Linked DNA regions of Drosophila melanogaster. The protein of the gene in region 2 interacts with the protein of the main gene of each other region in a pairwise test. Each region holds a gene or a part of one and is shown on either strand. Other genes may lie near its edges.

The links.
Region 1: the proteins of Eip78C (region 2) and SoxN interact in a two-hybrid assay, tested with the Drosophila melanogaster proteins (one large-scale study listed by BioGRID).
Region 3: the proteins of Eip78C (region 2) and CG15269 interact in a two-hybrid assay, tested with the Drosophila melanogaster proteins (one large-scale study listed by BioGRID).
Region 4: the proteins of Eip78C (region 2) and CG3815 interact in a two-hybrid assay, tested with the Drosophila melanogaster proteins (one large-scale study listed by BioGRID).

The regions. Positions count from the first base shown.
Region 1 is NT_033779.5:8,822,496-8,831,064, forward strand, and holds SoxN (SoxNeuro), read left to right. Parts: upstream 1-3,149; 5' UTR 3,150-3,998; coding exon 3,999-5,717; coding exon of another isoform or gene 5,718-6,284; 3' UTR 6,285-7,175; downstream 7,176-8,569.
Region 2 is NT_037436.4:21,224,505-21,231,558, reverse strand, and holds the start of Eip78C (Ecdysone-induced protein 78C), read right to left. Parts: upstream 4,641-7,054; 5' UTR 4,087-4,640; coding exon 3,168-4,086; intron 680-3,167; coding exon 447-679; intron 391-446; coding exon 249-390; intron 1-248. UniProt on the Drosophila melanogaster protein: Induces the early late puff 78C which triggers puparium formation and development.
Region 3 is NT_033779.5:15,106,098-15,114,322, reverse strand, and holds CG15269 (uncharacterized protein), read right to left. Parts: upstream 4,919-8,225; 5' UTR 4,739-4,918; coding exon 3,797-4,738; intron 2,231-3,796; coding exon 1,409-2,230; 3' UTR 1,231-1,408; downstream 1-1,230. Other genes in the region: stc (shuttle craft), read right to left, coding at 1-23, 89-433.
Region 4 is NC_004354.4:6,292,211-6,300,242, reverse strand, and holds CG3815 (uncharacterized protein), read right to left. Parts: upstream 4,855-8,032; 5' UTR 4,738-4,854; coding exon 4,690-4,737; intron 4,534-4,689; coding exon 4,343-4,533; intron 4,280-4,342; coding exon 3,595-4,279; intron 3,535-3,594; coding exon 2,012-3,534; intron 1,941-2,011; coding exon 1,751-1,940; 3' UTR 1,273-1,750; downstream 1-1,272. Other genes in the region: CG12219 (uncharacterized protein), read left to right, coding at 1-380, 446-635, 719-946; CG15891 (uncharacterized protein), read left to right, coding at 5,190-5,639; CG15892 (uncharacterized protein), read left to right, coding at 6,105-6,433, 6,499-7,063; mldr (mulder), read right to left, coding at 7,136-7,508, 7,575-8,032.

The DNA.
Region 1 (8,569 bases), on a different chromosome or scaffold from region 2:
CCCCATCTCGCTCGCTCACCCGGCGAAGCGAATGGTCGTCTACAAGTGTCGAGACGGGTCGTATACGTAATATACGTTTTTCTGCACTTGTTTTTGTTCTCGTCCCGGGTGAGTGTTTGCAGATTTTTTTATTTTGCGCCACTTTCTTTTTCGGGCGTTGTTAAACGGATAAACTCGTAAAACAGTTGCCGGCAAAGTTGCAAGAGCAAAGCATTTAGGGAACATTCAGATCCGAGTTTAGAGTCAACACGGCGGCAGAAAGCTGGGAAAAGAGAGGACGAGTTGCGCAGAATGTGGCAGCAAGGAGTGGCCCAAAGTTTGGCCAACAAAACGGATGCAATATGGCTTATATCACTGGAGGGGTGCCAATATCATCCGAAGAACTTTTGATTTGGGTCAATAGAAGGGAAATTTATATATTAAAATTTAGAGCGATAATAAAATTTGATCTAGGGAAAAAAATAATAAGTATAAGTAATAATAATAAGTGGATATCCTCAAAAAGGATTTAATTATTTGAATTTAACAAGAAATATTTACCTATTTTCCCCCACGATTAAATCTATTGATTTGCTGCCTGCTTAGATTTTAGCCAAGTCTTGAACGGGATAATATCCATATATTCCTTTTGGCTTTATTCAGATTTGCTCAACTTGTTTGCTGCCAATTCTGTGTTTTGTTGTTGCCGGCGTTGCTCCTCCTGTTGCCATTTGGCCATTGTTGTTGCGTTTTTATTTCTTTTATTATGTACGAATGTTTGCCTGTTTGTTTGTGCAATGCTCTCTCGCCCATTGTGTTTTTCTGCTTTATTTCCCAGTAGCATAGCATAGTGGTGTGTGTGTGTGCGAGAGTATTTTTATTTCGTATTTTCATTTGTATTTTTTGTGTGTGAACAATTAAAACTCTTTACAATGACCTTGACTTTGTTTTTTGTATGGTCCATGGCCCGCCTGCTTGTGAGTGTTTGTGAGTGAGCTTCCTTTTCATTCACACGCGCCCAGCACGCTCAATCGTCAAACATAAAACATAAAACACAAAATACAAAACACAAATAGCAGCAACAAAGCCGTCTGAGTGTCTACTCGTCGCTCATTCTGGATCCGAATCAGAATCGGAGTCAGAATCAGAATCGCAATCCGAGTATGAGTCTGAGTATAAGTCTGGTTCTGTTTGGTTTTTCGGGTTTTGGCTTGTTTTCCCATTTTCAGCAAAATACTTTTTGCGGAGCAACAGTCTTCCCATCAAAAGAATCAATGCCTCGTACTTGTACTCGTACTCATACAATAACAAAACAAACAGGCAGGCCAAGTACATTGATAATGAACCGAACAGAATTGTATTTCTTTTTCTGCATTTTGTATTTGAAATTACACAATAGCCCCCATAGAATCAACAACGACTTTGACTTATTCCTTTTCTTTGGCCAACTTTTTGCGGTTAAGATTTGCGTTCTTGTTGTTTTTGATGTTATGATGTTGCGTTGTTGTAGGTCAGTTACTGGGGCAGGTTTTGCATTGTTTGCCGGTCTTGCCTTTATTATTGTGCCCGCTTGCCCCAGTGTTTTCGCTCCATTGTCAAATGTTTAGCAATTGGCCATAAATTCATTAAGCCGACGAGCCCACATATCGGCTTTGTTTGCATTATACATTTTTAATGGGTTAGTAGCTCGATTCAAGTGTTTGATGACTTTGCAGGAAATTTGGAGACGATGCTTAAGGAGTTGTACAAAAGAAATTTTGATTGTGCTTTAAAGGGAGAAAATGTATATATATTATTTATCGAGGAAATGCAGTTTTTCATATAATTTGTATTTTATTTATTCAAGAACAAAAATGGTCTTCTATATTATTCGTAGTTTACGGATGCAAAAGTATGTTTTATTTTAGCCACAATGGTATTTTTTTTATTTAACACACAATTTATAATTAATATAACTTTTAGAAAAGCCCATAAATCTTGGTTTTGCTCTTCGAGTGTGCAAAAAATCTTCAATTAATCGACTTCCACCTGCACTGCAAGTTGGTGAGTAGTTCTCACCAGCTGAGAACTGCAATCCAATCACTTTGCACTGCTAAAAGTCGCACAAAAAAAAAGAGCCCAACATTTACTCATGGGCAACCCAAAAAACGGAATACCAGAGTCAGCTGAGGAAAAACGCATTCATCGCGGGGTGGTAAATTAAAGGGGGGTGTCGTGGTGGGGCAGATGGTGCCCTAAGACAATGCCGTAGGACGGGCTGGCTCATGTGGCGGATACGTGATACGTGTAAGCCAAACCGCATCAAAGTTCTGAGATACAACTGCCGACTACCGCGAGAGCAGGATACATTTGCAGCTGCACTTGCTTAATAAATTTTTCCATCTGCCGACTGCCTGCCTACACAATTATTCGTGAGCTACCTTGGCAAACCCATTAGGTTAATAAGAAGCGCAGCGTAAGACGCAGAGTGACTATACATACATATATATATATATATATCTATATTATATATCTTTTTGTATGTACATATAGCAGGGCCAAAAAAAAAAATAAAAAAGGAAACCAGGAAAAACTATGCGCGTGAGACGCGCTCTAACGGCGAAAACGCCGCAAACACTAAGGCCCCTGGGTCCCTGGATCCCTGGACTGGGTTGAGAGTACCCATGGCCCGCTCCAGCTCCCCCCGTCCATAGCGTTTCGGCCATGTTTAAAGCTCGAAATTTATACGAGAAATTCCTTCAGAGTCTCTTTCGGCAGCGGAAAAGCGGCAACAGCGCTTGCCATAAACGCAGAGACGACATTTTTATGGCAGCGTTGAGCGCAACGCGGATCGATATAGTGACGGAACGAGATAAAGATACATTCGTACCGCTCTCACCGTCCTCTGATTGGCGGAGCAGTGTGCGCAAAATCCAACCCAGCCAGCGCTCACCGCACACAGATGCACACATGCACAGCAGCGAGTTTATTTGATTTATTAGCAGGCCAGCCACTCGTATATTCATCTCGCTCCCGCACAGGCGACGGGCAATGGAAATGCCGACGCACACTTGGACAGCAGCGACGCACACACAGCTACTCGCGACTCAAGACCAGTTTTTCCAGCCACCCTGTCTGGCGGACCGCACCGCATTTACCGCCTCCTCGAGCGGCCAGCGGCAGACGGTCTCTCATTCGACTCTCGCATTCGCCGTCGTCAGCACACGCGCACGCAACGTACCGCACGGCAGTCGCAGCACGCCATCAGCAGCAACATCACGCAGCAACATCAACTCGGTTGTTCGCTGTCTCGAATTCGGTTTCGTGTCGTATCGTATCCGTATCGTTTCGCATCGCATCGCATCGGTGGTTCTGGTTCGTGCCTCGTCATCAGCTAGCCAAAAAGCGGTGATACGAAAGAAAGAAAAAAAAGTCATCATACAGCCAGGGAAAAAGCAGCGTAGAACGCACCTCGAACAGGTTTCGCCGTCGTCCGGAGAAACAGAAAGGTGCTCAATTCCGCCCAGTGTGGAGGTATTTTTTCGGTGTTCCCGCTTCTCGCATACGAAAAAAAAAAACAACAACCAAACCAAACCAAATATATTTACAACAAAATCTAATACAAACAACAACAATATTCTGAGGCAATTTCGCGTCGGGTTTTAGCAACAATTTTCAAGTGTTTTACGCCGCCTCTTGTTTGTTTGCTAGCAAACAACATATATGTATATCTGATATTTGTGACTGTGGAAAAAACGCAATTCAAGCTGTTTAGCTACAAATCCAAAGATAGCCGAGCGCCACATTTTTGATACGCGTAAAGATACGAAAAACTACGAAATAAAAACTGCAGCGAAAATCAAAATCTCAAAAATCACAAGTGCAACATGGTTTCCCAAAAAATGTTCAAAATGTCTAACTAAGCAAAGAGTAAACTAAAGCTAAAGAGTAACTGCATCTTAGAGGCGAGTATCCACGGAGAACCAACTTTGAGTCAAATCAGCTTTATCGCACCGAAAACTGGAAGTAATCCCCGCAAGATGCTGACCATGGAATCGGATATGAAAGGCAGCCTGCTGCATGCCACCATGCCGCCGCATCACACAAGTGCCGCGTTGCACGGACATGCGGCATCGCCGTACTCCGCCCTAGCTCCCCTTATGAACCTGGGCCAGTCGCACCTGACCCACTCGCAGCTGAGCCATCACAACCACCATCATCACCACATGAGCGCCCATATCGCGGCCAGCCAGAGTCCCAATCCGCTGAGCTCGCTGCAGTCCTCGATGGCGAACACCCTCAATGGCAGCCAGGTGGGGCAGCAGCAGCAGCAACAGCAGCAGCAGCAGAGCTCCCCGCTGCACAGCTCCAGCGAATTGAGTCCCACCCAGAGCAGCATCGGAAGCCATCACATGACATCGCCGGTCAGCCACCAGCAGCACACGCAACAGCAGCAGCACGGGCAGCAGCAGCATCTGGGCGCGGGATCTGCATTGAGCAGCCTAACTGGAGGATCCAGCAACAACAACAACAACAGCGCCACGGCCAACAAGAACCAACAGCACGCGGATCGTGTGAAGCGGCCTATGAATGCGTTCATGGTTTGGTCACGGGGCCAGCGGAGGAAGATGGCCTCGGACAACCCCAAGATGCACAACTCGGAGATCTCGAAGCGACTGGGCGCCCAGTGGAAGGACCTCTCGGAATCGGAGAAGCGACCGTTCATCGACGAGGCCAAGCGCCTGAGGGCGGTGCACATGAAGGAGCATCCGGACTACAAGTACCGGCCGCGCCGCAAGACTAAAACGCTGACCAAGACCAAGGAGAAGTACCCAATGGGCGGCCTGATGCCCGGACAGACGGTGGGCGGCGGAGCACCGGGTGAGCCGGTGACGCCCACGCGGGTGCAAGGTCAGCCTGGCCAGAACCAGTCGCTAAACGGTAGTGGAGGCAGTGCAGCAGCGGCAGCGGCGGCGGCAGCAGCGGCAGCGCAACAGGCGCGCCAGGATATGTACCAGATGAACGCGCCCAATGGATACATGCCCAATGGCTACATGATGCACGCAGATCCGGCCGGAGCGGCAGCCTATCAGACCTCCTACATGGGCCAGCACTACGCGGCGCAGCGGTACGACATGGGACACATGTACAACAACGGGTATGCGATGTACCAGACGGTGTCCGGCGGACAGACATCGCCGTACGGCAGCAGTCTCCAGCAGCCCGGATCACCGTCGCCGTATGGCGGCAGTAGCTTGCAGCAGCAGCCCGGCAGTCCGACTCCGTACGGCGGAGGTGGAGGCGGTGGCGGTCAGGTTTCCTGCCAGAGCCACAGCCCCAGCGACTCGAGCATCAAGTCCGAACCGGTGTCGCCCAGTCCCAGTGCCATAGCGCTCAACAACAACAACAACATCAACAACAATCACATCATGAAGCGGGAATACAGCTCTGCAGCGGCGGCAGCAGCAGCAGCAGCAGCGGCAGCAGCCGCCGGCGGCGGCGAGCTGAATCACCTGATGAATATGTACCATCTGCCGGATGAGCAGCGCCACCTGCTGCACTATCAGACTGACTCGCCCGATCTGCAGCAGCAGCACCAGTCGATGCAACAGCAGCAGCAGCACCTCCCGCAGCAACACCTTTCGCAGCAGCACCAACAGATCCCGCAGCAACACCATACCATGCAGCAGCAGCAGCAGCAACACCACCTGCAGCATCAGCAATCGCTGAGGGCGATGGCGCCGCTGGCACACATGTGAGAAATGGCCAGCGCCTATGGAGCAGCAGGCTCCAGTGTGAGCGTTTCGCCTCCACTGCCGCCGTACATGCCGACGGCCCCGCAGCAACAGCAGCAGCAGCAACAACAGCAGCAACAGTTGCTCAACGGACGGCCTAGTCCGACGGCATCGGGGTCGTCGGGCGGCCGCTCCTCGGCGCATTCCAGTGGCCATACCGCCGCGCATTCACCCGCCTTGGCAGCCGCCTACCAGCTGACCCCCTCCGCTGCCACCTCCTCCGCCACTTCGGCTGCTGCTGCGGCGGCAACTGCTGCTGCCGTTGCTGCTGCTGCGGCTGCAGGCAGCTCCTTTGCCGCCTCGGCCAGCATGCTGGACATGCAACAGCAGCATCTCGAGGAGCAGCAGCAGCACCACCACCTGCACTACCAGCAGCAGCAACAGCAACACTACCAGCAGCAGCAGCAGCAACAGCAGCAGCTGCAGCACCTCCCGCAGCAGCAGCAACACCAGCTGTACCATCACTATCATCCTGGCCACGAGGCAGCGGTGGCTGCCAGTGCTGGCCTCCTGGATATATCCACATTGTAAATTATTGAAAATATTAACTAAAGCCCTAGGATACGCACACCCACGCCCACAACCACAGCCACACACACACAGACACAATTTTAGCCTTAGTTCTTAAGCAGGTTTAATTCGAATTTCGAAGTGGCAGAGTAACACATGCGCATATAAATAAATGAGAATAGGATTAATGTTTAGTCATTTAAATGATGCATACGCACTGTTGTACCACAATAGTAAGATGACAACTCACTTGCATTCCATACCGTTCTGCTTCGATTTCCCTTGATTTCCCGCTTGTTGCATAGCTAAAACAATTGTGTGATACAAATAAACTGTTGCCAATTACGGGGACAACGGCAACAACAACAAATTCGTTTGGTTTAGCATTTCATTTCCACTCACCTTTTGCTGTACAAAACATTCTCAGACATTAAATGTGCGTTCAATTGAAGGGAGCAACGGGACGCGGAATCAAGCACAAGTTTAGTAGGAGTAAAGGCAGTTGTGGCGAGGCGATGAAAATATTTCAGAAAAGCAAAGAAAAATGTCAAAAAACATTCTATTTTATAAATTCTCTTATGCATTAAGTAATTATAATTATTATCTATTATATAAACAATTTAATTATTAATTATGCTTACAAATACCAGACAAGACAACCATAATTAATTGTAATAAAGCGAAAACAAAATTATTATTATTATTAAAACATAAATCGAATCGAAGGCAAGCATCTACTGCATAATACAAACACAACCAGAGAAAATGTTAGTAAACCTAAAGCAAATTTAGTAAAAACAAACCAAGAAGCAGCGTGCAAACGTGATTGTGAAACATGGCGCAAGGCAGCGAAAACAAACAAATCCAACAAAACATTGCCAAGCACCTGGAAATAATAAAAACAAAATCCACAAAAAATCCACGAAAAAAAAACAAATAAAAGAAAAATCTTTACAAAAACATCTCGCTACATTTTTACTATTTGCCGTCGGCAAAATGGGAGGATCCGTGAATTTTGCATACCGAATCGATATGCAGGTTCAGCAATGTGTCAGATGGCTTAAATTCCAGTTTGGATTTTATAGCTCCCCCCATTTTTAAGTGGGATGCGTAATTCCTTAGACAAAAGCGATTAGAGTAGTAAAAATCAAATGAAATTCACGCATTGTCAACATAAATAAAAATGTCATTAAACAAACCCTGACAAATTAGAACAAAACATGAGATGAGATTCCCATAAAAATGGTATGCCATCTACATTTATAAAATCCAGCCATGGCAATTATTTGGGAACTTCATGTGAATCGCATGCTGCAATCTGGCATTTCAATATTTATTTAAGTGCATTTTGTCAATGAGTAACTGCAATTTTCGTGACCGGAAGGCGACGCTTTGTAGCCAACACCGTCCAAACTAATTCCACCGATCATGCATCAAGGTTGAAATACAATTATTAGGAATTTTGATAATGCGATATATATCATATGCCATATTTTCAGAGCCGCTCACCAGACCCAGATTGTCCAATCACTCGGCTGTCGCGACGGTGAATGGGCCTACAAAACCCGATAATATCCACTTAATATGGCTAATTTATGCTGGCCAAACCATCACATCTGGCCCACGCTCTGTGCCAACATTTCAAAGAGCTCATAAAAAATTATGATATGTATTATTAATGAAAATTGCAAATTCAGAGCGACTGGGAGCAAAAACAAACACACATTGGCTGCAAAACAATTTATTTATTATGTGCAAACATTATACACTGTTTACTACTCTTTTTTTTTTTTTTGTTTGTGTCATTCGAAAGCTGCTGATTATTGTAATTCGGGTAAATGGTTTGGCTTAAAATGAAAGCTGCCCGGGAATTTCAATTAATGTATTTTCAATTTTTCACCACCATTCCCCTGCTCGTTTCTATTATTTCCACTTTGCAATCAATTAGTGGCAACGAGTTTTAATTATAAAATTTCGCATCTAAATTATTTTTCGCTTCGGATGCTTAACCCTTACCCATACCTTCGGTTGATTCAAAATGTTTAACCTTTTCTTTGGCTTCAAAAATTCCCATTTTTTTTTTGGTTGTCTCTGCTCGAAATAGTTCGCATGCATAAAAAACGAGCTTCGATTTGCATTTGTCGCAATTTTCATAATATTCACAGATTTTTCTGTGGGCCTCTGCTTATCTTCGATTTTGAGGCCTGTTTATTTGTGTTGAAATTCGAGATTGTCGAGTGGCATGTTCGAGATACATGCATAATTTGTGTGTATATTTCTACGCGCTGTGTGAAATAAATGCAAAA
Region 2 (7,054 bases):
GTAGTTTGAATTGCTCTTCTAAAACGCTATCTTGCAGTTGCCAATTTTCACTGACAGTCAACTGACACAATCTGCGATCGCTTGGCAGAAATCTGCCAGCGGTTTCGCAGCTAATAAAGTTATCAAGGGGCACAAAAAGTGAACAAGGTGCAGCCTCGCCTTCACTTTGGTCCCAAGCAGTTGGCTTTTTGGGATTGGGTATTCGGCATAATCATATTTCTTGGCTGTAGTTTTGGTTTAGTACTTACAATCGCGGCTCATGCCAGCGGAAAGGCATTTCTTGAAGCGGCAGTACTGGCAGCGATTGCGGTTCAGTCTGATGACCAGGCACTTGCCGTCCCGCAAACAGCGATATTCGATTTGCTTCTGGATACTGCGACGAAAGAATCCCTGCCAGGAAAAAACCCATTGAAAATATATATACTGCATGACCTGCACAAACTCACCTTGCAACCCTCGCAGGAGGTTACACCATAGTGGTATCCCGATGCCTTGTCGCCACAGACTTTGCAGGGCACAAATGATTTCGAGGAGACACCGTTGTTGTTGTTGCTGCTGCCGTTGCTGCTGCTGCTGTCTGCTAGGCCAAAAGATTGCTGCTGCTGCGGGTGTTGCAACTGCTGCTGGTGCTGCTGCTGCTGTTGCAGCTGTGTCGTCGGCAGTGGCTGCTGCTGTTGCTCTGCAAGGGAAAATTGCATTGGTTTACACATTTCCTCCGCTGGAAAGTTGTCCAGCTGGTCGCTTATGCAATGGCACATTGCTCATACGCCGCGTGTGCAACATGTCGCAGTGCAATTTGTTAAATGAGTTTGCTGTCACTGCCGCCATGTCACCCACTCGCCATCGTCCAAAATGTCACCTTCTTGCAACACGGGACAGCCACAATCACAATCACGATCACAAGCGCAATCAATCGACAAGTGTCACCAGTAATTGATTTAAGCCACCTAATGGCTAAATTATTTTTTTCCGACAGCTTTAAGGCTCCCATCTTAATCATCCTCCAGTGGGCTGGTGATCAAAGTTAAATCCAATGGCCAAAGAGTGCATTCAACTTCCAGGAGATGTGCGATAAGAAGAAATGCCAAAAAATCACGTATACGCCACCGCCTACAATAAATTGCCTGTAAAAACGGCAGTCACGAGGAAAGCTGCAGCCGCACAATTTTCACAGTGCGAGCGCCGAAAAAAATTTGCATTGCAAATTAGGGAAAAAGAAGAAAAGAAAAACAAGCAAAGAAAAACTGGAGCCAGGCAGCAATGTTTGCTTCTTGGCATTTCATTTCGAATTCAATTTGACTGCATGTCTTGCTGCTATTTTTCGCTTTTCTAATGCAAAAGGAAGAGGCAAATGAACTAAGCGCGGAGTTTGAACAGCCTTCTATTGTTGTTGTCGCGATGTTGTTGGTGTTGGTGTTGCTAGTTGCCGCTGTGCACATTGGCGTTGCCACACCTCAGAAATGCGAAACAAAATGAAATTAATGTGGATACACGCACCGAAAAACTGTCGACAGGAACGGAAATATGGAGACAGAACTTCAATTTATTTCTTGTAATAAAATGTCCTTGTGCTTGGTCCAAGAAACTGTCCTTTACAAATTTTGTAACAAATATTAATCTAATACACATCACTTCCGAAACCGTTTAAATTTGTTAATATTTATTTGGTGATCAACTTTGGTGATGCATGTTTACATCATTTGTTTTTTCTTACAGTGGATGGCGCGTTACGCGCTTGTGCAATTGCAAATTGAATTTTTACAATTGGAGTGCAACAACAATTACAACTACAACAACGGCGTCTGGAAAATGTCGTCGGCCCGGGCAGGAATGAAAAAGAAAAGAAAACGCAAAGGAAACTCAAGTGGCTGCTTTTCATTTTCGCGCCGCGTTCAAATGCAAATCATTTGGTGGCTTTTGCAAGTTGACAATTTGAAACGCCATTGTTTATCCAGCCGAAGAAAAAGGGGTGCGGGTTGTGGGTTGACTGGCTGGCTGGCTGGCTGGCTGACTGGCTGGTGGAAAACTGCTTGGCATTTCCGCGTTGTCAGACAAGTCAGAGGCATGGACGATAGACGACAAAGACTTCATATTTCCTCGACTTTTTCCCATTTCCATTTTCATTTCATGCATTTATCTGGTTGAAGACAACTAATTGAGTGGAGTGGACAACGAGCGATTGCAGTCAATTTTTGCCCCGGCAGAGGAATATCAATTTGAATGCCGTGGAAAAAGCAGTCGAGATTTTGACTTTTCCTCTAATTCCCAGCTTGATTTCAAGGCCTTTCCTAACAGATTTAATTTTCATTCGCACTAATTGACGCAATTAAATGTTGCCATTCCAGGACTCGAAATGAAATCTTCGCCAAAAAATCCAGGCAATTTGCAAGTTCAGCCAAGCCGAATAGTATTTATAATGTCGAATTGTAGTTCAAAATATTATAAAATTTATTGAAAATAAACAAATTTATATTTAAAGTTAAATAATCATTTTCTTGGCTATTAGTGGCGGTAAATCATTCAGCAATAAAAATGTATTGGATTTAGATATTTATAAAAAAAATTGTTTAAAATATATATGTTGGTTTCTTTTTTTGAAAGTCTCTGTGTAAGCAGCAGCTGACCGTAGTAGTTATTAAGCCTATGTTTTGTTGCATTTCCGGTTCCAACTACCCATTCGTTCGAGCCACCAACTACTCCCGGAGGAGTAGAATGGGCTTAGCCCCTTCAAATACCATCATCCAAGGCAAAAGAGAGCCGAGACCAATTCAAGGCGATTTATGAAAATTAAAACATCTTTTCCATGGCTTTCAATTGCACTGCACCCAAAAGGAAAAGCAAATGCAGCGGCAAATGCAAGCACATTGACAGACGTGCAACATGAAAAGCAATTTCCTCGCACTAAAGAGAAAACTGAAACAGCAACAGCCATTGGCCAATAACAGCGAATTATATTCATTTTCACATTTTCCATGCTGCGCTTTAATAGTTTCCTCAAAAGGAGAAGAAACCGAAGACCCAACGACTTTCAATTGCTGTTGCAGCTATTATGCAATGAATGCAAATTTATTGAACACAATTTCAAAGACCGACAACAATGGTCCGCAGCAGAGGAGAGGAGACGACAACGCGGAAGAGTCGCAGTGTCAGTTGCAAATTGCACGTACCTTTGTTCAGATGCGCAACAGATGAAGATGTTGCTGCGGGGTTGACGACGCTGTTGTTGCTGCTGCGGCCGCTGCTGATGGTGCTGCTGACCGCTGACGAGGAGGAGGATGCAGAGGAGGATCCGCAGGATCGCGAAGATCCGGAGGAGGAGGCCGACGAGCAGCCGCTGTCCGGCGAAGAGTGGGCGGCGCTGGAGGAGGGGGAGCTGCTGCTGGTGTTGTGGTTGCTGGCCGGACCGAACTGATGCACACTGCTGATGGTGTACAAAGCACCTCCACCATTGCTCAGCGTGCAGTTGAGCTGATGTTGCTGCTGTCCAGGGTGTTGCTGCTGCTGCTGCTGTTGCTGTTGTTGCTGGTGGGTGTGCTGCCGTTGCTGCTGCTGCTGTGGGCTTAGACTGGCTGCAACACTCTCTGCTAGGGCTGATGTTCTATAGAAGTCGTCGCAATGCAACAACTGCAATGGATCAGCTTCAATGGCACTTAGGCAATCCTCCAAATCCCGGTGATGCTGCTTCTGCTGCTGATGCTGCTGTGTTTGCTTCTCCTCTTCCTGCTCGGATTCCAAGCTATTGGCCTCACTGTAGGCCCCTTGGGTGGACGAGTCCTCCGGTGTGTCAAAGAAATGCAAATTAAAGTCTGAATTTGCATTAAAATTGACTACCGGCAGCAGGGCTTCCTCGTCCTCGTCCTCCTCTTCTTCTTCGCCTTCTTCTTCCTCGTCCTCTTCGTTGTCCTCTTCCTCCGCCTCCTCTTCGCTTGGCTGTTCCTCCTCGTCCCGAGTGAAATCCTTGATGAGGTCCTCCTGCTTAACTTGGAGCTGCTGCTGCTCCGAAGACGAGTGCTTCACACAGGTTTCGACCAGCAGTTTGGAGCGGATTTGTGCCTGTTCCTCCAGCTCTATTTGGTATACATCCATGTTGCTCGGATCGAATCGGTGAGATGGGCATCCATCATCTTCATCATCGTCCTGCTGGCGGAAATCGACGTTGGCAACCTGCGAGGGCGCCTGATCAGCATTTTTATGGGAAATCTCTGCGATGTTATATCTTTTGCACTTAATGAGGAATCCGGAGAGGGCGTTTCAAAAGGATTCACGGTCTTTCAAATTTTCTTCGCTTTTGTCAGCTGTGGCTGAATTGAAAAAAGAAGTTAGGCTTTAGCATATGGCAAAGTCCTTTAAAGAAAATGCTATCCGATTTCAAAAGCTAGACCAATCTATCAAGTTCTGGTAATCTTGAAAAACCAATCATAATAAGTACGATAAGTTAACATTAAGTCTAAGAATAAGTGTATAAAATAGACATTAATTTTTGATATCAAGTAACCTAATATTCCCAATACTATAATATTTGGCCAATATTTCCTTTTTTCTATTTATTAGTTTGCTAAGTTTAGTTAAGGCCTTTCCCAGCCATGTACATATGTAATTATTGCCTCCCTACTTTGTGCGCAGTTCTTTCGTTAATGCTTGAATTCAATTATCACGATCATTTCGCATTTCTCATTACTAATCCCCTCGCTTAAGTTTGTCACTTGCACTTAGCCTTCGTAATAGCTTGTATTGCATAATTTTTCAATTCACTTCCGTGTTGTTTTCGAAGTCCTTCGTTTCCAAGTTCAGGCTAGTTCCAAAATCGGGCGCTCGTTTCGATATAGGTTCGTTTTGTGGCGGCACACTCGCGCGTCGATTTTATTATTTTTTGGGAGAAATGGTGATCGCGCGTACAAAACTCTCGCTTCGTCGAGATCCAAGCGCCAACTTCGCAGCGCTCCAAATGCGCCAGGGAAAATCCAAGCTAAACTGTAGAACCTACGACAACACACAAAAGTCCAAGACGACGACGGAGCAGCGGCGCAGAAGAACAAGAACGTGTCCCTCTGCGCCAGTGTGAGTAACTGTGCGCTGGTCTGTGTGTGGAAAGAGCAGGAAAATAGAATGCATTGCGTCTGTGTGGCCCAATGGAGTGGGAAAACTGCGAAGCGCCGCCGCCGCCGGAGCATGAGGTGGAGCCGCTGGAGGAGATGAAGGGAGCAGATCGGTTGGAGAGAGTCAATGTGATGCGAGTACTGGAGGCTCTATCTTTCTAATCTCCACCAGCGCCAGCGACAGCAAGAGCAGCAGCAATAACAGCAGCCACACAAGCTGCAACAGCAACAACTTGGAAAGCTGCAGCCACATTAGAAACTGCTGCAGCAATAGAATCGGCAACAGCAGCAGCAACTGTTGCAACAGCAACAGCACAACAGAAACATGCATTGCCACTCTCGCTGTTGCAGCTGTATTTTGTTGCTGCACTTTTTCATTTGCAAACTCTTTTCCTGGTTGCTATTTTCAATTTCTATTGCCGCTGCCGGCGTTGCTGCCAACGTCGGCATCGACTTCCAACATTTCCAAGTGCAACCACACATCCACTCAAGATCAATTTCACACACACCAATGCAGCGAGCGAGAGCAATAGAGAGAGACTCGGACCGTTACTTAGTTTGCACTATCCTCGAGGGAGAGGGCAATGGGCATGTGTGTGTGCGCGAGAAAGAGAGAGGGCAGAAGTGTGGGCGCCTTCAAGGGGGGTCAAGTCAAAGAACCTTCAGCTGAGCAGGCAGGAAAGAGAAAGGCCGAACGGCAGAGTGGGAGAGCAAATTCTGCAATGCGGAAGTTTAAATGTTGCATGTTGCTTTTGCGTTTGTGGGCTGTTTTTCACCGAGAAGAAAGTGGAAAACTGCAGTTTTTGGCATGAAAATACTTTCCTGAAAATTATTTTTGAAGATCAAATGAAGTATTTAGGAATTTGCTTCTGAGTCAAAAAGGTTTAATGTTTTGACTTGAAAATAAAAAGCAAACAATGCCAAATTTTCCCGAAAAATGAATTTACATTCAAGGACAATGATAAAAAATAATATGATTGTGCAAATTGCAAGGGTACAAGGAATTAATTAACTAGGTACAGAAATCTCTTTTTCGAATAGTATTTTTTCCTTTTTCCCTAACGTTTTCCGCAATTTTCGTGACGAACGCCTGGCGCAAAAGGGAACGAACGAAAGTCAATGATCAGCGGCGGCGGCGACGTCAACTGCATGCTAGCTTGCCATTTTTCCAACGGGCAGCAGCGAAAGCAACCAGAAACTGTAAATAACAGGAAAACGGCAACTGGGCGATCGGTGGAGCCACATATCCACGATCCTCCGCGAAAGCGAAAAGCCAGCGAGCAGCCGAGGTACGACGACCAATCGAAGCGATAACTCCGCCGCCCCCACCGATCCGACGATCCACCCAGGCTGTGGCATGCTATAGCACACTATATGTCCGATTGCGTCGGGCGATAAAACCTGATCTCCGCAGACACACCGATATGCCACGCACACTCCTCCAAAGACGCTCACCCATACAGACAGACGTGCGATGACGACGAACCAGGAAGAGAAAAATGAAAATGCCGCTCGCGAAGATTGTGTAATCGAATCGAGTGAGTGTGTGCGTGTGTGTGTGTGCGAGTGAGAGTTGTTTAAAGATGGGCGGGTGGAAAAGGGGAGCACTATTCTTATTATTACTGCATTTCACTTATCATCTCACGAGGGTGAAGGGGGGAGGTGGGGACAGTTGCCTTGGCTTCTTCGCGTTTTTCGCGTTTATTTATTTTGCTATTGTTGGCTCTACGTTCGCCGCGTTAAGTTCAATGACTTGTGGGCAACGTCATGGGCAACATTTGAGACAACAGCAACAACAGCGAGAACAGCAGCAGCAACAAAGTGGCGCAAAATGCGTTTGGTTTAAATTATTTGCTTATTATTATGCCACTGCCGACAGCCTTTAGATTCTACACCGAAGAAAAGTGATCAAAATAATAATTAGCAGCTGCATCAATTGCATTATCAACAACAAAACT
Region 3 (8,225 bases), on a different chromosome or scaffold from region 2:
GGGATCATGGCCTGCGAGTAAAACTGTTTTGTGATTTATTAGTTGATTCATTAGGACTAAACCTAAGTTCTAATATATCGAAACATACATTCGGAGATTGATGACTCACATTTGCAAAGTGGCTGGTACTCGCGGATGCCACTGGTGGGTTCAGTCCAAAGGCTCCTCCACCGCCGCCCAGGGAGAAGTTAGTGTAGCTGCTGCCCACCGGATGTTGCATAGTGCTGGTGGCATTCGAGGGCGCTCCTCCACCCAGATTGTGCTGCATAATGAACTGATTGAAGTTCACGTAATTGTTGTTGCTGTGCCTGTTGCAGGAACCACCCACTGCCGCCGATTCGTGACCTCCGTTGCAGTCTGCCATGGCGGATGACTCATTGCCGGGTCCCGCTTCTCCGGCGCCGTTGGTCAACTGCTGCCAGTACTCAGCCATTGAGAGTCCGGTGCTGTCGTTGGTGACCAGCGTCTGTTGCAGTTGCGCCTGCTTCTTTGCCGGAACAATCTCGAACTGCCCGCCGTCCTCTGCTGGGCATTTCCCAGCGCTACCACGGGATCGTCCGCAATCCGAGGAGGAGGTGACCGAACCCAGGAAAAGCTCCAGACACGTGTGCAATGGTGAAATTGAGCCCAATGCAGAAGTTAACCGAATCGAATTCTCAGTTCGATCGAATTTGGTAAAGGCTTTCTACGGCCAACTGGACGCACCGCAGCCTGGGTCCGCAGGCACGTTTTACTGATTTTTTTGCGCTTTTCCTGCGTTTTTTATGCTCGCTTATATTGTAAATTTCTAACAAAATTTCACAACACGGTCATACCAGACGAAACGGTACCACTGACAATTGCCTTGACTTATCGATATATTAACAGACTTTCGATTTTTGAGGGGAAAAGGGCTGCCAACTCGGTTTTAGGACAGCTGTGAATACAATTTAACAGCAAGATTTCGTTTAGTTACTCAACACACCTACAGTGGTAATAAACTATCAGGTGGCGCCATCTGGCTGAGTGAGAGCGCACTTTTAAATATGTTAAATGTACTGCAACGGTTCGTTCATTTGTTTACTAAAAAAACATACATCTTTTAATTTTTGTCACTAGAAGATTTGAATTAAATAAGGCTGCGTTATCTGATTATAAGCGAAATTACCTAGTTGGACTCCCAATCATATCTCCAATCCAAAATATTATTTCTAGAATCCTGGAATCCTTTTGTATTTGATATTATACTTTATTGACTGGCCAATATATATGCCTATTTTAATAATAATTAATGTCTATTCCTAATTTAATTTCTAGCAAAATTATTGCTTGAAAATAAATGTAAATTGAATAACAACAGTGGAAGTACTGCACTTTGTAATTGCCACAAATTTGGTTGAAACTGGCCGGGCACAACGATTCCACCCATTTAGAATGTCCTGAGATTGCTGAGAAGGGTTTGCTGACTCGGCGGTTGGGATGGACCAGATCCAGGTGTTAGAACTCCAGGAGGTGGCGGCATTTGAAATGTTTGAGCCATGGCCATGGCCAAAGTGGGCGGTGGACCTGTTTGTTGTTTTCCCGGTACTGGAAGTGCGGATGATGTGACCGTGAGTCCATCCAACGGACGGTACTGACACTTCTTAGCGTGGGTTCGCATATTGCTCGACTGGGTGAATGCCTGATTGCAGTTGGGATGTGGGCAGACATACGGCTTGCAGCCTGTATGGTAATTCAGATGCGTCTTTAGGTGATGCTTTTTGGTGAAGGCTTTGGGGCACAGGGGGCAGCTGAAGGGCTTGATTCCCGAGTGGAGGCGATGGTGCAGGGTCATGTTGCTGCGATCGGCAAAGGACTTGCCGCACACGGAGCACTGATACGGTTTCTCACCACTGTGCGTCCTCATGTGCTGTTTGAGCAGCATTTTACGCGAAAATCTCTTTCCGCACTCGTTGCATTTGTGGGGTTTCACGCCGGTATGAATCCGGACATGCATATTGAAGGCCACACGCTGATTGAACGATTTGGGACAGTAAGGACACTCGTACTCCTTCCGGTTCCGGTGAATCTTTAGGTGACTGCTCAAATATCCCTTATCGTTGAATGTCTTGCCACATTCGGGACACTCGGCGGCAAACTCCTTGGTTCCTCGGTGAACGGACAGGTGATATTTGTAATTTCGCAGCTGGGAGAAACCCTTTCCACAATCCGCACACTCGTAACGCGGCGATTTGTGCGTCTTTTCATGAGCCTGAAATAAGAACATAATAGACAAATAAGATAAATAAATAAGATACATTAGCTTAGCAATAGTAATATTGTAGCAATAGTAAGAGATTTAAAATTTTAATAAAAAACCTGAGGTAGTGAAAATCTGTTGTGAAATTCATAAAACAGCGATTTTCTACAAACTGTTCGTTAGTTAGTTAGTTTTTGGAAGGGAGGCTTTCAAGATGAGTATGTTTAGCAACATTTTAATTAGGTCCTAATATTAATACCTTATTCTATAAGTTCTAGTGAGGATTGGAAGATTTCGAATATAAAGTTACTGAAAACTGAGCTTTGGACACATTTATACTTATACAAAATAAGCCAGAAATGCAAAAAATACCATGGTTACACATTCGAATGTTCCCCATTGTTTGTAATAATTTTGTTGCAACTTCAAATGTGGCTTGCTTCAGTTAGCTACTGAAATTGGTGTTCTTTCCCAAAGTGGCCATTTTGTGATTACCTCTCGCTCGGCGTCTGGCCCTTTCTAACGTATCTTGTAGCTGCACCCATGCGTAAAACCAGTTCTCTCTTTTTTGCCCGCTTCTGTTTCTGTTTTCGGCCGACTCCATTTTGAACTCGGATTGCTTGCGAGATTTGCATAAGGCACTCAATTCTTCGCTGCCTCTCTCTTCCCCACTCCACTTGAATCTCCACTCTTTTCTTCGGAGCTCCGCCTTCCAATTAGACTACTGTTTCTCTGTTTTTTAGGCCCCGCCCAAATCCATATGGTATCTCTGTTGGTGAAGAAACCCGTTTTGGGAGGATCTCGTGTGGATGTGGACTTTGAGGACCGGCCAAACGATATCTTATGTGATGTATGGCCATGTGAAAGGTTAATGCTGTTCTTGGCTTAGATGTTTTGAAAGGAGTTAAATTCCTAAAGTTATTTAATGGCTTTGCAATAATAATTCTCAATCATTTAGTACTCCGCATAAACACATATTTCTTTGTGATAAATGTATACGTAACCGTTGATGAGATCTAAATCATTAATTTTTTTGTTACTTATAATTAAAAAAAAAAATACGCGTGCATTTGCCAAATGCTTGTGTGTAAGTACAAACTCTTTAAGTGACTTTACGTATAAGTTTGATTGTGCTATTTAATTTATAAGAAAATTTCATACAATCGTTCATTTCGTTTCGCTTTTTTTATAACTAAACAGCAGCAAACTGAAATAAAATATAATCTGGCAAATCTAAATCATTTCATTCTTAAATTCTAATTGGGAATTGCATATATTTTTTGAATATTTGTATTTCATTTTTTAAAAGTTGAAGGTCTAATGAAATAAAAAAAATTAAAATTCTGTCTACACTATAAATATAAAAATTTGTTTCGTGGGTGTTTTGTGTTTACTCGTTTTTGAGGGATTTTAAGAATAAATTGAATCCTTGGGTTAGAGTTTGGAATATATTTAGGATGAATTATCTTTTCTAAAGCTAATAACTGATAACTAAACGCTTTGGTTGTCATAAATGATATATACTTGTAAACAGAACACCATCGTAATAATAATTTAATAACAATAATAAAATCTCACCTGCAGAGTTTCAGAGCATCCGAATACCTTCTCGCAAATCCGGCACTTGTAGCTGATCTCCTCGGCGGATGTGGCATTGTATCCACCGATACCACCGATTGCTCCACTGTTGCTGCCGACGGCTGTGGTGATCAGTCCACCGGTCATCTTGGGCATCATTCCGACGGCCGTTGCCTGGACCGAGTTCAGACTCAGATTGGTCACGGTGGTCAGTGAGATGTTAGTGCTGGCGGCTCCTCCAGTGGCACTCATAATCAGATCCCTCACAGGACGTATTGATCCGGTGGAACTGCTCACCGAGGAGGCGGCGGGTGAGATGAGAGGTGCGGTCTGCTTATAGCCACCAGTCTGCAATCTTTGGTAATAATCCAGGCACTCCGGGCAATCCGGACGAGTGCATGCGGTGCTTTTGGTGCGTATGAGAGGTTGCTGTTGCTGCTGCAGTGGTGGTGGTGGGGGAACCGATCCATTGATCACATAGGGAGCAAAGAAGCGTTTCTGCTGATTTGGCAAATGCTGCTGATGCTGATGTGTTTGATAGGGCGACGTAGGAGGAGTACTCAAGCCGGCAGCCGCTGCAGCAGCCGCATAGGCGGGCAGTAAGTGCGGGAAGAATTGGGCATAGAACTTGGTGGCATTGGCCATGGCCACCAAATCTGGCGGCAACATGGAGTAGGCACCGGAGGCATAAGGAGTTGATGGTATTGCCAGCCCTCCAAGAGCCTGTGGGCTCCTAATACTGTTGCTACTGCTCTTGGATAGATCCAGGATATTCGTGCTCGTATCCTGAGCGGATTTACGCTCCTTGCCCAGAATCTTACTGATGCTAAAGTCAGTGACTTGAGCCGGTGGCAACTGTGCCCCAGCTCCCAAGTTCTGGACTCCATTGGTGGGTGAAGTACGCGCCGGCGAGGGCGAAAGGTCGTAACTGCGCTGCAGCATGGCGTGCTTGAAACCCATTCTTCTCCACACCGAAGAATCACTCATAGACCGCAGGCGTTACCGTTTCGGATGACTATTTTCTGAGGCGTAGGCGCTTTTTAGCCCGGGGAACTGTCGCGTTACGCGTCGAAACACGAAATGTCTTGGCCTCACAGCCCACAGCAGCCGTCATCGTCTTTTGGCCGGGCCTAAAGCCTGGCTTACGCTCCCGCTCTCGAATTTAATTGGTCGAGAAACAGGTTTGACCGTACAGGTCGGTCTCGCTCCGTATCTCTCTCTCTCATAGACCGGGAGTCTCTTCTCCAATTAACCAGGTTTGACTGCTGGAGACAAACTGTCGCGCCTCCAATTACGAGAGGAGCTGCAATCTGCAGACCCAGAACCATTTGCTAGTAGCGTTCTACTAGTCACATCTATCATAAACCTTATCGCTCCTTTCAGATCGCTCTCCGTGCACTACTCTCTTTCATTTTTTTTATCCACTGGACCTCTCTGATAAAGTGACTAAGATTTCGTTTTGGCCGCGTTGTTTTTGTAATTAATTGCGGTAATAAAATGTGCGCATCGTTAAATTTTCAAAATGTATTTCTCTTGTTCCTCATCCACACACACACATTCTCATCCCCGTCCACATTCACATCCTCGCTGATTCCGAATCCGATTCCCAGGCATGTGTGAATCTTACGGTTATGCGCATGCGCAGCGATCATCTCTTGAGGTGACTTGGTTCGTCACGGCTCTGCAGTCTTAGCCATGTGTGAGTGTGGGAAGGAATTGAAGCTAGGGACTAGATGACATAACCGTCAAACGATCGTCAAAATGGTGTATAGGAAATCAGGTATTTTTCTTGCGAATTTAAAAAGGGTTGTTAACGGTTCATGATTGACCACACTGGCCAAAAAACTTAACGTAAGCCCAAAAGGTCTAAATAATCATATATGGATGATTATGACACCCTCTTGAAATATTTTAGTAATTAAGGACGTGCTGTGCCATTAAAGTAAAGTAAAGAATTTTTAAGAAACAACAATTTGAACCCAAATATTTTTCCATAAATTTATTAAAAAATAGCCTATGCCAATTAAGGGTGCCCTACAAATACCTCTTTCTGAAGCATTTAAGCTTGATCCACTACATTTAGTTGCCATCCAAGAGGGACTGTGACCACTTCCTCGACTTGCATAGCATCAGTAGCGGCCATAAAAATGTGCAAAACAAAATGCTCCTCAAGTGATTTGTGATTGGATGAAACGCGCATAAATAACATGGTATCCAGGCCGAGGATTCGGAGGATCCATACACAGGTGAAGTAAAATGGTGACACACCACGCGAATTCAAGGAAGCTGCAGATACAAATGAAGTGGTATACATTTACAGCTACATGGAATGAGATCCGGTGAAATGGAGTTGATATTCTGACTCACAAGGATTGGAGGATTGAAAGTCTCTGTTTTCTAATTGCCAATTGCCGCATAGAGAGACTCTAATGCGCAAGGCACAATCTTGCACACGATTTGTCCACGATCACTTACAAAACGATCTTATCAGGATTACCTGGCGGAGAAGCCCCTTCAAATCCTCCGCGCTAGCCAACTACCGATCCTCTTGCCAGTGATTAATAATGGTTTGACTGTCAACACGCGCTGCTCGCTTTGGTTGACCACGATCTGCATAAATTTTGATTAAACAGGCTATTCATTATAATTATACATATGAGGACCGGGCGAACACCACAAAACTTGTTCAACCTTAGTTGAAAAACTCTTTTTCGTATTTCGTTTTTTTTTTTCAGTTCGGTTGGCATTTCGTGGAATTCCGCCAGATAATTTACATATGCGAAGCGAAGGAAACTTAAGTTTTAATTACACTCACTAAATCATCGGGCCTCTGCAGCAGACTCCAGGAGACTTTGTTTTGTCGCATGACTAATGTTTATTAGCTGCTAATGGTTTGTTTTACAAAAGCTACGTGGCTGCCCCATGCGAAGTCCCTCCATTGCCAGCTCCATCTCCATCCGTAGCATCCCATCGCAACGCATCCAGGTGACTCGCATGAACGCTCCAAAACTGTTTCACCCGTTGACATTTTGACAAATTTCCAACTCCTTACTACCGTCGTCGTTTTGGGGCCGTCTCCAATGTAAGCTGATACCTATCTCAGATGCCCAGATCCCCATCTCCATCTCCATCTCCTCGATCTTCCCCATGGTTCTTCTTCTTTGTTCACACTATTAATTTTCCGCTCGTTATTGTCGGGATTGTGCGTTGTGGTTCAGTCGACTGGTTCCCCCTCATTGGGGTGGTCGGCATTTATCTTATTTTGTGTGCGTTTAAAACTTCTTTGTGAAACTCTTTAATGTCATGTGTTATCGGTTAATGATCAGCCGCGTTGCCAAGTGATTTTCTGTCAGCGGGTGATCAACTTTGCCTGGGATTTCCCCACCGAACTCCGATCTTCACCGCCGGTTCGGGTTTGTCCTCCTTACGGATTCCGTTTAATTTCCTTAGTTGCGTGGACCTTTGGTTTTATTCGCTGATGGGGCTTTGGATCGTTGGATTGTTTGGACCTTCTCGTCTGCGCCTTGTTATGTGTAGCTTGACAAATGTGTTGATTTGCCAAGTTTATTTCCAGCGATGGTGGGTCCAACATTTTGGCAATAAGATTGAACGACCTTTTTGGACTTTCTGATCTTTCAAGGCGAACTAAAAGCAACAAAAATATAAAGTTCTGAATTTCCAGGTAACACGTTTTGGCCATGAAATGTATTTGAGTTAAATTGAATACAGTAATTACAAAAATGATCATTTTAAATTATTTAGAGCTATGTATAACATAAAGAAAAAATGTTTAAAATAATGATGACAAAATAGTTTTATTCGCTTTACTTTCAAAACTAATCGGAAAACTTGAAAGTGCTTAGAAATGGTTCAAAATTTGCATGCAAATTCTACAGAAACGCCCACCTCCCAATTCCCAAACTTATGTATTTGTCAGGCCTTGGCAATAAAACTAAAACAGGGCTCTAACAACAGCATTTAGGAGGTGTTATACTATTGTCTAGCCGCGATATAATTTATATGGATGGAATAAAAGTTCGCTGAAAACGAGACAGAGACAAAGGAGAGTAGAGCGCGAACAAAGCGATATTCGTAAATTATATATGCACGTCCATATATGTATGTACATATGTATATACGGATCCAAAGTGGCTAAACTATATAGGTATGTATGTTTGTGCATATGAATAAACGAGGCGTATGGCTCGGCAATGTTGTAGATCACAATCATTTCAATTAATTCGAATATAAAATACGAAGTGGAGACGGCGGCTTTTGCAAAATGAACAGCGTGCGCTCGTATATATCAAATTTCAATATAAATGAGCTACAAACATAAATCAAGGGGGGAGGCCCTTCGACCCTCTCGATCCCCTTGCCATATATTGAATCCCCCATGGACCCCCCACATTGAAAAACACACGAAAGT
Region 4 (8,032 bases), on a different chromosome or scaffold from region 2:
CCATCCGGTAGTCGGGGCTCACGCAATCGATCCAGTCGCCGAAAGACGCACTCGCCCAAAAAGGTCCAGCACACGGAGGGCAGCGATGTTAGCGACGAGGATTCGCCGCAGAAAAGGCTCAAGGAGAACGAGCTCATACTGGCCAATTATAATGCGGTAGCCGCTGCTGTCGTGGCAGCCGCTTCGCTAACGGGCAATCCGCCAGGACAACCGGATAGCCTGCAGCAGCGTCTGTGTGCGAGCCTTTTGCAACAGCAACATCAGGAACAACTCTTTGCTGTCATGTCGGCAACGGCGGCTGCAGCGGCGGCCGTAGGAACGAGCAGTGCCACAACAACGACGACAACGACAACTGGGACAATGATGGCGCATCCCTATGGGTAAGTCGATTGGATACTCCAGCAGCAAGCAGCAAGCAGCAAGCTTACTAACGAATCTCTTACAGCAACCACCCGCCTTCAGAGACGGATAAACGACCGGCGGCTCCGCTGCAGGCTGTCATCCATGCGGCACCCGTTTCGATCATTTGTCCCAATTGCGGTGAGCTTCCTGGCCAGAATCATCGCTGCCTGAGCAAGCCCAAGTACGCATGCGATGTGTGCGGCAAAAGCTTCAAGATGAAGCGATATTTGGAGGTGAGTACTGCACTGCCTTGCATTGTTTCAGTTATCCGCAGCTGCATGGATACCACTAATGATAATGAATTCTTCTGCGGCAGGAGCACTTTGCCACGCACACGGGCGTCAAGCTGCACACCTGCGCCTTCTGTCCCACGGAATTCCGCTCCAAGTCGAATATGTACCATCACACTAAGCGCAAGCACAAAGCGGAATGGGAGAGATCGCGAGCCACGCGCTCGGCGGCCAAGGCTGGCGTCCAGGAGCAGATGCAGCACACCAACCCGTCACAGGCACAGGCTCAGCCGGGTCCTGCGGCCGCACTCTAGGATGGCAGCCGGCACCTGGACGCGGTGCATGCGTAGTCTTAGATCTTTACAATTACAAATATATACATATATATTTTTTGCATATTAGCCATACCGAATGTACTTATCCGACGTTTCGTGTACTCCACAAAGTCAAGGCGTCCCGCCGCCTGGCACCTATTGTGTATACTCTTCTCGTTCTCTATAATGCCTTAACCAGTTGGATTTGATCTGGTTATAAAGTAAACACATTCATTTCAAAAGAAACTAAAAGTCATGTGCACTTATTGGGCGGGGCTTACTGCTAATTGGTGGCTCCATCGATCCATTTGCATGTGAAAAAATCTCTGATCTTACAAGTTTATTTCGTTTTAGCAATTTATACATCTGTTTTTACAATAAAAGTAAAGTATGCGATGCGGGTTTATGCGATTTATGAACGTAATGGTTAATTCAATAAATACGGCGTTTGATACCAGAGATCCACTGCCCACTGGCATGGATCAGCCTGCAGCCGTGCACATCCGTGGTTTGTACTCCGTATTTATTGCACTGGTCATAAGGCAAATATATACCCTTAATGCTGGATGGGATTGGAGGATTGTGTGATTTAAAAGTACTGCCGAGGCTTTGCATTGCGATGATTGATGCGATGAAGTTGAACTGGTATCTGCTAACCCTAACCCTATGCCTGGCTGCTAGCTGCCCCACTGAGATTGGTGCTGCTCCACTGGAGTTGGCTGCGGTTGAGCGCGTATATGTTTCTGTGTCTTAATGCTTAAACTAAAGGCTGCTGCTTCTGCTGATGGAGTCTGGGTACTGGTTCTACGAACGCTTGCTGCGCGCCTGCGCCTGCAGCAGATCCACCGACGGCACGACAAACACAAACGACAGGCAACCGAATCGCAGCAGGCTGCCGTGAGCCAGCACCGCCGATCCCTCCCAGGCGCCATCCACCATGGGCACTGGTCCGGCGTTCATGCAGCGGCAGGCGGGCTTAACAATGGGCGCCAATCTGCGGGGAGATTAAATCAACAAGTGGTTATCATCATCATTGGGTAAGTTGGGCAAATAAACTATAGCTACCGTTCTTTGTCGATTTTCTTCGTCTCGAACTGGCGATTAATGTTCCGACGCTTGTCCAGCATCTCATCGACGCGCTTCTTCAGCTCCGCATCGTCAGGTCGCATCGGCTTGCCGGCGTGCGTTGTCATCCTTTCGGTCACGTCGCAGGCATACAGCTGTCCATTCACCTCGGTGCCAAACTCTGAGTAATTGATCAGCTCGTACGACTTGGAGAATTCGTCGTAGAAGATGATGGCGTGCTGCGGTGAAATGCGACAACAGTAACCAATGGCCGACAGGTCCACGGTCTCCGTTTGCGCCAGCGTCGTCGATGGCGAATAGTGTCCACCGTAGCCAATGTACAGCGTGCGGTAGCGCATGAAAATCGAATGGTCCAGCCCCAGCGAACTGAACCAGCGGCTATCCTCGAGCATGTCGCCCAGTGGCGTTATCACCGCACGCGCCTGCACTTTGCACTGCAGCAGCTTGAGCTCCAGGCGCGATGCCAGCTCGTATGCCTTCTCCGTGTCGCTACGGGCACGCGGCGCATAGCTTTCGGCAGCGGCATCTGCTGCTGCAATGGCCGCCGCTGTGGCCAGTGCCGGATGCAGGGCCGTTGCGGGATCTTCGTCGGCGGCATTGCCATTCTTTTGCGCCAGAATTGAGGACGTTTCGCTGGTGAAGAGCAGCGAGAAACGGTTCATATCCTCCGGCGCCAGTTGGCCTTGCAGGGCAGCAGTTTCGCCAGCCACATGTGTGCCATCGACTGACGCCAGTTGACGCAGGCGACGAGCGGCCGTGCGATTCTTGTACTGTGTCACAATCTCCGGATGCTCTTCGACCAGCTGCTGCAGACGCTGGTGCGCCAGCTTCTTGATTATATCGACGTCCAGGTGTAAGAGGTCTGCATCGATAATACCCGTTGATTTCTTGCTGTCCTCCTCGTCCTCCTCGAAGCTAGCCTCCACCTCTAGGCTGGTCTTGGACTCCACCTTGACAACCGACGGCTGTTCGCTGGCCTGCGCATTCGATTCTGTATTGGGATTCTCCGTATCCACTTCGCCATTCACTTTATCGGCGGGAGTGTTCGTCTCGGTCCTTTTCTCTTCAGGACTGGGATCGCTGTCGCTATCGCCATCTATGGCCGTCTCCAAGGTTCCGAATTCCCTCTGAATCTCACGGAATTTGGCGTGAGCCGTGCGCAAGGCCTCCAGATCCTTGAGCAGCGATTCGGTGACCGACTCACGGGATATCTCCTCGACTTCGGTGGGCAGGTTATTGCGCCGCTTTACCCGATCGTAGCGCAACGTTTGGCGCATGGAGGGCAACAGCGGCGGCGGATGATCGTAGTGGTAGCGCACAATGGCTGGCACCTCGATGTGGGCGCGAGCACGCAGATTTCTCTTGGTGCGAAAGGGCGGATTGCGCGTGTTGACACGCCGGAAGAACTCAAGCTTGACATTTTCATGGTCAAGTGGCTGGTGGAAGCGATTCCAGAGACGCACCCGCTCCGTGGCCGAAATGCTATTGGTCATATTGGCATCCTGTGAACAGACATCCTCATTAGAACCCAAGCAGACCTCCATGTGCGTTGGCTGACTTACGATAAAATTCTCGGCATGATTGGGGCACATCCACAATCCAGCTGGCAGTGCCGTCAGTGGCGGATCCAGGCAATCCTGGTGAAAGTAGAGCGGACAGTAGTCGCAGGAGATGAGCGGCGCCCGTTTGCAGGAGCGCGTGCAGTAGAAACAGGTTTTGGCGGGCAGCGGCACCAGTCCCTGGGCATCCAGCTCAAACGGCTTGGAGTTGCGTCGCTGATTGCCGGCGCATCTGCGATTACCGCCATTTCCGCTCGGCGGATGCGTCTGCTGTACGGGTTGCACCTTGCCATTGCCCGGGAACTGGGTGTGCAGCTCGAGCTCCGGCGGCAGCGAGAATTGCTGCGGATTCATCATGGTGGCCGCCCTGATGACATCGTCCAGCGGCGTTGGCTTCTTGTTCGGATCGAGGGCGCGCTGTATGGACATCGGCATTTTGGCCAGCAGCTTCTCGGTGCTATTGCGTTCGCTGTTGCTGCGTTTGCGCAGGTTGCGGATCTTCAGCGGTATGGACTCCAGATCGCCAGACGATGGAGTATTCGCCCGTGAGCCACTGCCCGCCGAAGGCACACGCTCCACGGAACTGGCCTTGGATGAGGAGGCCGGCGGCTGGGAGAGCTTGCTCATGCGACAGCTGTGGCACAGCCACTGGCCACTGGGTATGTCCTCCTCGCTCAACGGTGGATCACTGTGGCGAAAGCACGAAATCAGCACTCAAAATGAGCAGCTATATGCGCGTGTATATACTCACTGGCATTGCAGGTGGAAGCTGGAGGGGCATCGATCGCAGCACAGCAGATTGCCGCCCTCCTCGCAGGCGTCACAATAGTCGTGGTTGTGGCCCCTGCCCGGGCGCCTGTAGTACGGATGCTTCGTGTTGGTGGACCGCTGCATCATCTTCTCGTCCTCGTTGGGCGGCGGGCGGATGAGCTGCTTGATTTGCTGCGCGAAGTAGTAAAGTTATGTTAAATGTGGGAAATGGAGACAGTTGTGAATGCGTTAATGTGGCAGCTCTAGAGTAGCCACCGCCGATTGGAATTGGAGCTCCGGGCAGTGGACACACTGAAGCTCTGAATGGCGTCCCGGCGGCACACTCACCTCCATGATGCTCAGTGAGGCGTTCGGGTCCTGGTCCAATTTTGACATCTTTTTCGCTCGCTCCTCTTATCCGGTGTACACAATCAATCTCGGAGCGACTTCACTTGGCGACGGAGGCGGGCGCAGTGTCGGTTGTCCAGCCCTGCGCATCCGACGAGCGAATGGCCACACTGCGCGCCCACCGATAGGCGATTAACGGAAATTCAGTGCAGACTGCATTTCACTCCAAATCTAACTACTTGCAATTAATAAAGTTTATATTGGGTATACACATTCGTAACCGAAAAATACCCAAGCAAACAAATAGTTAAAAATTAAATACCCAAAATTCTCATATTTCGCTCAGACCTCACTATAGACACCTATATGTTTACATCTTTTGGGCACACCACTAGCTAGCACTCGCTGTTTTGGACCAACGCCCGCTAAAAGAGCATCACAGCTGGCGGACGACGCAATTTGCCAGTTGATTTTACCAAACAATAGAACAAAATAGTGCAATGTTTTCGATATTTGGCAAACGCAAGCCCGCGGAAACGCCCACGGATGACCAGCCCATCCAGGGACCGGCGGAGGCAACCCGTCCAGGCACCAGTGTCGATGATTTCGTGTTCATAGAGCGCAAACCAGTACCGGATGCTCCTCATCCGGGTGTTCCAGCCGGCTCCATGTATCCACCTATGCCGCCAGCGGGCTATCTGCCCTATCCGCCGATGCCAGGACCGCGCAGCGATCAAGTGAAGCAGCCCGGAGCCCAAGGACCCGTCAATTACTTGCAGGACATTCCATTCGAGCTGGCACCCGGATTGGCCAACAAGGATCGCTACACCAGCACCCAAATGCAGGTGGACAGCATATTGGCGCTACTAACGCGCCAATTGTCCGTGGACGAGCTGGCCGAGGAGTACACCTTCGCCCTGGAGCGATCCGTGCAGAACGAGTGTTACTAGCTTTAGATCCATAGATCCACTGGTTAATATTCATACATTACATTACATTACATATAATAAAACGTTGCTTATTTAATTGTAAACCACATATGCAGTGCTCTTTTGCTTGTTAGTGGTGTGAGTCATTGGAATTCCTTAATCTTGTTGCCATACAATTAATGTTCCATTTCTTTGAAAACATGTAGAACTTTTCTGACTATCAAGTAGTCCTTTGGTTTTACCTCGCTCACATTTCAACTGGGACTGCTCATAAGGTGATCCACTATCGCAGCGTGAATACATAAAATTGTTAGTGCTCCCGTTTACCCAAATTTTTCGTACACAAAAAAGATTTCGAAACATTATTTTGTGTTTATAAGTAACCAAGTTCAAAGCTAAATTTCCAATACGTACAAATTTACCAAGCCGAGACGAGCCGTTCCGTTTCGTTTCGTTTAGTTCAGTTCCGTGTAGTACTCTTCAGCCATGGCCAGCTCCAATGTCTCGGATTGGGATGAGCCGATGCCCACGTCGACGGAGTCGCTGCCCGAGGAGGAGGATCCGGATGTGTGCGCAGAGGAGAACGTAAAGAAGCGGCGGGAGGAGGAACTGGACAAGCTGGAGTTGTATGTGCGGCGCATGGCCTACCAGCCGACACTGCCGCCCAAGGTAAAGCCCTACGACGTGGCCCTGTCCAAGCCCAAGTTGCACACGCTCATCGACAACTACGAGCAGTTCAAGGATGTATACGATCCGAAGCTGCGGGCCAAGCGGATCAAGCGCATGCTGGGCAAATACAAAGCCATTACCACGGAGTAAGTGCAGCGCTTGCATCAGTTGCTAACGCGATCTAATCATCTCATCTCATTCCCAAAAACAGACAGCTGGAGCAGATCCTTAAGAGCAACAAGACCAAGGAGCGAAAGAAGGAGGATTTCCTGAAGCGCAAGCAGGAACTGTACTACAACATGCTGACCAAGCTGGAGCGCCAGTGCCGCACCCAGTACCTGAACGTGCTCATCAAGAAGTTCGCCAAATTCATTTCCCATCTGGCCACAACGATGCGCATTCCGCCGCAGCTGGTGGATCCGTATGCGCGCATGCAGCGCGGCATCTTCTGCAACATCCTGTTGGCCATTGGTGTGCAGCCCACCTCACAGTCGGCCATCTACTACACCAGCCAGGATGCCATCGAGTACGATGTGTGCCATCGCCTCGCGCACGCGCTGCTCAGTTTGATCATTAAGGCGCTGGACTCGGCAGCCACAAGGGATCCCAACGAGCTGGCCAAGCCGGCCGACTTGGACTTCGAGATGGACAATCACATCAAGCGTCGGCTCATGTGCGCCGCCGAGAAGAAGCTGCTGTACGAGCGCCGTCGCAAGAAGCCCCAGCCGCAGGGTCTTGGAGCCTTTGAGAAGTGCACCCGCTATGACTGCGACTAGGACGGCTCCTTCAGTGTATTCGTGTTAACATTTGGCTACTATTTATTCGCATAAGAAGTCTTGCTCACATGGTCACCTCGTTGTTTTGGTCTTGGTTTTGGTGGCGGGTATCGTCTGCTCCTTCATCTGGATGCACAGCCAGTTGGCGGGCACCTCGAAGCTGTCTGTGGGATGCGGCGTGTACTGCGCGCAGTAGGGCACATGCCAGGTGTCCGCCACTTGGTGGGCACACAGCCGATGACGAACGGGCTCCTTGACTATAATCTGACCCGTTTGCGTTTGGGTGACCAGGGAGAACTGGTGCTCCTGCTGCCAGCGACGAAAGATGGGCTTCAGCTCGGTGCCCAGATGAAAGGCGTGACTGCGCATCAGGTCGCGGGAGAAGAAGTCTGTCTCCTGGCCGCTGCGCAGCGTGGCATACAGCAGGAAGGGATCATCGTGCGACCTATAAGCAAACGAACGAACGAATTAGTCTACCTATCCCTTTCCAATTCGAGATGAATTCCCTTACAGATTGCTGGTCAAGAAGAGGCTGGCATTGCAGTGCACATAGTGCATGGCCTGCTTGGACCAGTTGCGCATGTGCTCGCGTCCCAGGACGAGGACACGCTTGTCCTGTTCCCGGAAATGACGCACCACCGTAGCCACTAGCTTGGCCAGCTGCTGCGGCGTCTTTTTGGTGCCCGTAGAGTAGGCCACATTGAGGCCATCGATCACACAGTCGTATGGCGCCGTCTTTTCGACAAACTTCTTGAACCTGGCCACCTCCTCGGGCGTGGAGCGCTGGAAGACGTCTCGTCGTATGAGCACGCGCTCCAGAAAACATTCGCTTAGCTGCCGGAACTCCTCATCGCTGATGGCCACCGGCTGGAGGTGCTGCTGGCAGGACTGGCACTTGCCCAGACCTCCCAAATGGGTGGTCCTGGTGTGCAACAGTTGGGGCACCTGGCTGGACAGCTCCTGCAATCG